2 linked regions of the Ovis aries genome follow. The protein of the gene in region 2 purifies or fractionates together with the protein of the main gene of each other region. This does not show direct contact. Links are inferred from orthologs where the notes say so. Each region holds a gene or a part of one and is shown on either strand. Other genes may lie near its edges.

The links.
Region 1: the proteins of NPHP1 (region 2) and NPHP4 purify together in Homo sapiens (co-immunoprecipitation; 6 studies listed by BioGRID and IntAct, with this or other methods). This does not show direct contact. The link is inferred for Ovis aries from reciprocal best matches to the Homo sapiens genes NPHP1 and NPHP4.

Annotation. Positions count from the first base shown.
Region 1 is NC_056065.1:46,809,476-46,812,937, forward strand, and holds the end of NPHP4 (nephrocystin-4), read left to right. Parts: intron 1-401; coding exon 402-573; intron 574-1,159; coding exon 1,160-1,339; intron 1,340-1,594; coding exon 1,595-1,738; intron 1,739-2,263; coding exon 2,264-2,404; 3' UTR 2,405-2,818; downstream 2,819-3,462. UniProt on the Homo sapiens protein: Involved in the organization of apical junctions; the function is proposed to implicate a NPHP1-4-8 module. Does not seem to be strictly required for ciliogenesis. Required for building functional cilia.
Region 2 is NC_056056.1:104,781,424-104,785,498, forward strand, and holds the start of NPHP1 (nephrocystin-1), read right to left. Parts: upstream 2,815-4,075; 5' UTR 2,800-2,814; coding exon 2,731-2,799; exon of another isoform or gene 1-2,730. UniProt on the Homo sapiens protein: Together with BCAR1 it may play a role in the control of epithelial cell polarity. Involved in the organization of apical junctions in kidney cells together with NPHP4 and RPGRIP1L/NPHP8. Does not seem to be strictly required for ciliogenesis.

The DNA of each region.
Region 1 (3,462 bases), on a different chromosome or scaffold from region 2:
CAGGCGTCCCTGAGGCCCGTTTACCACCAAGAGTCAGTGTCCCTGGCACCAGGCGGCTGTTGCAGAGCCCGGGCTCAGGCCCATGTGACCTCCGAGTCCACATCCTGGTCCGTGCCGTGCTGTCCATGGGGTTTGCACTAGGCCTGGTTTGGGGTTCTGCTGACCCAGGTGCAAGTGTGCTGAAGCCCACGTTGCCACACATTTGAGGTCTCTGTTCAGGGTCAAGGCCACGTAGAGGCCACAGCCCTGCCTGAGCGCCTCGGCCTCGGAGGGAAGGGGCCCCTGGGGGTGACGGCCCCTGGGCCCCGCCTGCCCTCTTGGCCGCCTTCTCAGCCTCCTGGGGCTCCCCTCCCACAGTCAGTGTAGTGTCCTCGCGGACCGTGAATGGCTTCTGCCCACAGAGACCGCTGGTTGGCAGCACCTATCCAGACCTGGCAGGTCCACCTGCACTCGCTGCAGCGAGTGGATGTCTCCTGTATCGCTGGCCAGAGGACCCGCCTGGCTCTCGTCCTCCGGGGGACGCAGACAGTGAGGAGGGTGCAGGCTTTCAGCTCACACCCCCAGGAGCTGACGGTATGGCCTTTGGGTGGGGGCTATTGGGTCTCAAGGAGGTCCCCTGCGCCCTCCCTTCCTTGCCCACCCAGGGAGGGGGTGGGAATGGTGCTGCAGCTCAGGGGATTCCTGAAGATCAACAGAGCCTTAGTTCACATTGCCTTTGCCAGATGTGCCTTCGTGGGATGACTGACTTATTTACAGACCCCACCAGCAACTTGTAGAATTTCTGGGAGTATATACTACGATATTTATGGGAGTATATATTGTATATCATGGGAAGAATTAACTGTGACTCTGGAGTCAGTGTGGCCGTGATTGTACATCTCGGTGATGGGATGATGTGGATGCCTTGCCCGAGGCTGGGCTGGTTCAGCTCTTCTCTGCCGAGGCTGCTCCAGCACTTAGGGGTTCCTGCTGTGGGGGAGGGGACTCAACCCCAAAGATGGGGACATGGACTGTGCCCCGCTGGTACTGGTGCCAGTGGCAAGGTTGACTTCATGCAGACTGGAGGGCTTCCCGCCCAGCACAGGTGGTCACCCCTGAACCGTTGGGCTCCCTGGGATGAAGCCCTCACCTCCTGACCCCCTTCTCTGTCCCCTGGAAGACGGACCCCAGAGGTGTGTTTGTGCTGCCCCCTCATGGGGTTCAGGACTTGCATGTGAGCGTCAGGGCCTGCAGGCCGGGCAGCCGCTTCACGCACCTCCACCTGGTCGACGTGGACGCTCACCAGCTAGTGGCCTCATGGCTCCTGTGTCTCTCCTGCCGGCCGCCTCTCATCTCCAAGGTCTGATGTGGGATGCGGGGCCACGTGGCTGGGTGGGATGTCCCCTGATTGTCACCTGGTCCCCTAACCCGGCCTGCTCAGTGGCTGGGGGTCTGGGGGGTGTTGGTTTCTGAACTGTGTTCTCCTAGGCCAGGACCTCGGGGGGCTTGTCTGCTGTATTTATGGAGCCATCCAGCGTCTAGGGCCCCGAGCGCAGGGCAGGCTTGGGAAGCTGCCGGAGAAGCAGCCAGGTGCCAACTCCTGCCCTCCCCGCAGGCCTTTGAGATCAAGCTGCCCGCGGGGGGCGGGAGGGGCGCCAACAAGCGCATCACCTACACCAACCCCTACCCCTCGCGGAGGGCCTACCGCCTGCACAGTGACCACCCCCACCTGCTGCAGTTCAAGGAGGATGCCTTCCAGGTGCGGGCTGCTCAGGGGAGGGACCCTGCAGGGTTGGGGGGCTCCAGGAGGTCCTGGGGAAAACCGTCTGTGCTCCAGTGAGATGCCTGCAGTCCCCAGGGGCACCCCCGCTGAACACTGCCTGGGCCTCTGACCCCACACCTAGGCCCCCACCTCCCCGGCAGTTTCACAGCAGTTTCATCCAGATTCTCTGGCAAGTGAGGCCTTGATCTACTGTGGCTATTTTAGGGAAAGTGAGCAGCGGCTCAGAGTGGATCAGAGTCTGTCAGTCAGGGGAGGGGGCTTAGTGACGTGTCTCTCAGGGACTTGGGAAGAGCGGCTGTGGGGGAGAGGGCTTGACAGTAACATGGGAGATTGGGTTCCAAACGTACATGTGTTTTCTGAAGCCTGCCAGCCTGGGGGTGGGGTGGGGTGTGTGTGTGTGTGTGTGTTTGCCTGGGTGGAAGCTGCTAGCCTGGGGTGTGTGTGTGTGTTTGCCTGTGGAGCTGGCTGGGTGGACACGAGTATGGCAACATTTCTTTCCAGGTCGGGGGAGGCGAGACCTATACCATCGGCCTGCGGTTTGCGTCCAGTCAGAGAGCTGGGGAGGAGGAGATCCTGATTTACATCAACGACCATGAAGACAAAAACGAGGAGACCTTTTGCGTGAAGGTCATCTACCAGTAGAGGAAGGGGCTGTCCCGCCATTCTCAGGGGCTGCTCCTGTCCCAGGACTCTGCTCCGTGAACTCAGCCAAGGATCGCGGGGTCCCCGCGCCCTGACCGTACATGATGGTCCTGTCCCGTCCCGTCAGGCTGCTGCCAGTACCGACTGCATAGCAGTCCCGTGGCAGATGCGAGCGCCCCAGTGAACCCAGGCCAGTTTCTCTCTGTGGCACACGGGCGTCGTCAGTGTCTATGACGTTAGGGTTTGCTCTCAGCAAAATGTATTTTATGAATTATTTTAAATGATAAAATTATGCTTTTTTTTACTGAGTTTTATACAAACACTGTATTGTTTGGTATGTAATATTTTTTTATACTGGTATTATTTCATATCTTTTAAAAAAACTACAAAAATATGAAACTTTTACACATTTTCTCTTTTGGCAGTTTTTGTGTTTTCTGCTGTTTTCACCTTCGTCAGAGGTTTTCTGTCCACAGAGTAAGCTTGGTTTTCCCTGTAGGTTGATGTGGCCAAGGGCAGTCAGGTGGCCCATGGCTTATGGCCTCTGGGAGAGTCTGCTTGGCCCTGACCTGAAGGGAGGGCAGCGCTGACCTCTGCCTCTGCTCTGATTCTCGTCTGCCTGTTTCCTCGTGGGGCCTTGTGATGACCCTGGACTTAACCTGGAGAGTCCAGGACAACCATTCTATCTCAAGATCCTTAACTCCATCCTTTTGACCTCACGAGATCACCTTCCAGGGATCAGGTCAGCCTGGGTTGGTGGACATTATTCTGCCCACCTCCATCCCAGTGCTTGTGTACAAAAGAACTGAGTTTACAGTGTGAAAACCCAACAAAGGGCGTCCCTGTCTGTTGCTTAGATTCTCCAAGATGTCCTTTCACGGGCAGCCCCTGTGTTTTGCATGCCCGCTGCACGCATGGCAGGATCTCTGCTCATCCACACAGGCCAGTCCAGGCCCAGGCCTCGTCACCAGGGACCAGGCCCTGGCGAGGAGTGCATTTCAGGAAGGAAGGTGGTCTGGAGCCTAGTTGCTTTCTATCCTGGGGGCCAAGGAGGTGGA
Region 2 (4,075 bases):
ATCCCTATCAACCTATAGAAAATTACTATTACTCCAGAAAGTTCCTAGAATGTACTCTTTCGTGTAATCATTTCTGAGATACTTCCATATCGGAAGGATACTTCCATATACACTGCTGTCTGTATCGTTGGTTTATTCTTTCTTACTGCTGACTAATACTCCCTGTATGAATAAACCACAAGTTTTTTTCTTTCTTATCCTCATTCTTATATCTTATACTGTGACTTAGCAATTTCCAAATACTACCTGTAACTTTGCCAACATACCCACAAAAGAGGCACATATATCTTTCGGGTTCTGTAGATGTGGAAAAGATAAAGTGATTGAAAAAAAGAAATAAAAATTCTCTACTCTTGCCATTGTGCGTCTGTTATTCACAACGTCACACACGTGGTGACAGTCAGTCATCACGGGCATAACCCAGATGGGTCCTTCATAACTTGTCCCATGGACAGCAGGGTGGAAGTCTGTGCCACGTTTTGCTTCACGTGTCCTCTGCGGAGGCCTCCCTGGTGGCTCAGACAGTGAAGAATCTGCCTGCCAATGTAGGAGACGTGGGTTCGATCCCTGGGTTGGGAAGATCCTCTGGAGAAGGAAATGGCAAAACACTCTAGTATTCTTGCCTGGAGAATTCCATGGACAGAGGAGCCTGGAGGGCTACAGTCGTTGGGATCCTGAAAAGTCGGACACGCCTGAACATGAGCAGAAGTACATTAATATGGGGTCAGGGAAGAAGGACCCCCCAATATCACACAGCCCTTCCCAGACACACAGGGTACCAAAAGGCTCAAGAGCCAACTGGGTTCCAGCTTGAACAACCCTGGTGACTGTTTCATTTCATCTTTATATCAGTAACAATTGTTGTGGCTTACTTCTACGACTTTTCCTGGTTCTGTCAATGTCCAACTAAATTTAAAATTCAATGCAATATAAAGCATCTGGCCAAAGCTCAGCTTAAGTTAGTGTCTCATTAACTTTTATTTTTATTCCTACCAGAAGAGTATTCTATTCTGTTGTACCACTATAATTCCAATAGAGTTCCTTAAGAAATATTTATCTACCCAATCTTTTGTACTTTTTAAATGAAAGTCCAAAACTGGATAAAATATGAGCATTCAGTACATCTTCTGTCTGCTAAAGATTATAAAAATAATTTTATTTAGTGGAAATAATACTTGGTAATATTAACAGATCAGTTTAGTTCCGTCACTCAGTCATGTCTGACTCTTTGCGACCCCATGAACTGCAGCATGCCAGGCCTCCCTGTCCATCACCAGCTCCCAGAGTCCACCCAAGCCCATGTCCATTGAGTCGATGATGCCATCCAGCCATCTCATCCTCTGTCATCCTCTTCTCCTCCTGCCCTCAATCCTTCCCAGCATCAGGGTCTTTTCAAATGAGTCAGCTCTTCAAATCAGGTGGCCAAAGTACTGGATTTAAGCTTCAACATCAGTCCTTCCAATGAACACCCAGGACTGATCTCCTTTAGGATGGACTGGTTGGATCTCCTTGCAGTCCAAGGGACTCTTAAGAGTCTTCCCCAACACCACAGTTCATAAGCATCAATTCTTCAGCCCTCAGCTTTCTTTATAGTCCAACTCTCACATCCATACATGACTACTGGAAAACCATAGCCTTGATTAGATGGACCTTTGTTGGCAAAGTAATGTCTTTGCTTTTTAATATGCTGTCTAGGTTGGTCATAATTTTCCTTCCAAGGAGTAAGCATCTTTTAATTTCATGGCTTGCAGTCACCATCTGCAGTGATTTTGGAGCCCAGAAAAATAAAGTCAGCCACTGTTTCCACTGTTGCCCCGTCTATTTCCCATGAAGTGATGGGACCAGATGCCATGATCTTCGTTTTCTGAATGTTGAGCTTTAAGTCTACTTTTTCACTCTCCTCTTTCACTTTCATCAAGAAGCTCTTTAGTTTTTCTTCACTTTCTGCCATAAGGGTGGTGTCATCTGAGGTTATTGATATTTCTCCCAGCAATCTTAATTCCAGCTTGTGCTTCCTCCTGGAAATGCAATTACACAGTCTAGGAGCATAAATATCTTCTACATCTTGTCAAGGTGCTTTCCAGAAATGCTGTGCCTTATACCCTGGGGCAGTAAAAGTGCCTGTTTCATCACAGCCTCCCCATCAAGAGCATCAAGATTTTTAAAGTGTTTGTGGTATCTTATATTCTTTGCAATTGCTTATCTTCGAAGTCAACTTTTCTCATGTTTATGTGACTAGTATTTCTTCTTTAGCTCATGTCCTTTGCTCACTTGGCAGGTCTTAACATTTTTCTTATATATTATTCCTTGATGCATATTTGGCTTGGCTTTATGGGAAGCAAAAACACTCAAGAGCCTCCACTGGATGGGAGAGAAAGGAAAGGAAGCATGCAGAATGGAGGAAAGTGATGTTGAGTGCAGAGATGGTTGGGATGTTATTATTCGTTTAGATTTGGAGGTGAGATGGGATAGAAGAGGTGTTAGGTTGCAGATGGAGCTGTTAGGTGGGGTGGAGGGAGAGGAGGACAGCACTTAGTCGAGGATCCCATGTTCTAGCCTCCCCGGGGTTGGGTTGGGAGCGTGAGGGGTTAGAATCAGGGTTTGGTCCCGGTACGTTGCGGGTGGGGGAGGTTACAACTTGGAAAGGGTGGGTTGGGGTTGACTCTCAGAGTTAGGGTGCGCCCCGGAGCTCGCCCGCCGCCAGAGCCCAGGTCTCTCACCAGACGGTACCTGCTGCTTCAGCTCCTGACTGCGGCGCTGCAAGGACTGGAGTGGGTCGCGCTGCCGCCTCGCCAGCATCTCCGTCACCTAGGCGCGGAGAGCACAGCGGTCGCCAGGGAAACCATGGCGGCTGCACCGGGACGTGACGCCATCACTACGCGTCCGCCTCAGCGCCCTGCAGCCCGCCGGGAAGCTGATTCTGCAAGTGTGGGGTTGGTCCTCTCCTGAGGAAGCGGCTCCTTCAATCCGCAGGGCCGGAGCTCGCTTTTCAGGTCCACTGCCCAGCAAGTCACTTTTTCCTGGCCAGTCCCAAAGGATCGGGGTGGAGGTGGGGGAGAATATGCCGCTGCGTCCGAAACTACAAGTCCCATAATACTCAGTATTACCACGTTCCTGCAGGGTTACTGGGAGTCCGCAGTGGCTCAGCGGTAAAGAACCCGCCGGCAATGCAGAAGCCAGCAGGGTGGGGAAGATCTCCTGGACGAGGGTGTGGCAACCCACTCCAATATTCTTTACTAGAGAATCCCATGGACAGAGGAGCCTGGCGGGCTACAGTTCATAGGGTCGGAAAGAGTCGGACACGACTGAAGCGACTGAGCCTGCACGTACCAGTTTTGCTAAACTAATCTTGTGTTAGTCGCTCAGTCAGCCATGGCGGACTCTTGCGATCCCATGGCTCCTCTGTCCATGGAATTCTCTAGGCAAGAATACTGGAGTGAGTTGCCATTCCCTTCTCCAGATCTTCCCCACCCAAGGATCAAACCCAGGTCTCCTGCATTGCAGGTGGACTCTTTGCCGTCTGAACCACCAAGGTCCTTGAAGCTTCTTAATGTCTTAAATGTACAGATCGTTTTCTTACATGGCTTATACAGGATACGTGGTTCTGCTGCATACTCTGACTTCACAAAGGCAGTATTTAATTCTTTTCTATTTGGGATATTGCTGGAGTATCACTTAACTGTAGTTTTTGCATCCTCAATTCTATGGTCTAGGGATGGTCATTCTGTTCTACAGGAAGTCTATACACCATGATTATGTGCTGCATTTTACATCTCTCATGGAGGCTGTAATCACATTTCCTCAAGTGGGACTCATTCCTATAAAATCCAATTCCCAAACTCTCCCCACTACACGGAAGCTCACTTTTTAAAAGATGAACCACATTGATACCCATTTACAAGTTAATCCCACAGGCCAAGAGCCATGCTATTTGTGTTCTTTCTTCAACAGAAAAGGGACAAGAACCCCCTCACTTAATTTTCACTTTGAACACAGCTCCATGTAACATCAACCAGATTTGGATCCTGATAGTATCCAACATCCTAGCAGTCTTCCCTTTCTTCTAGTCCTCGCC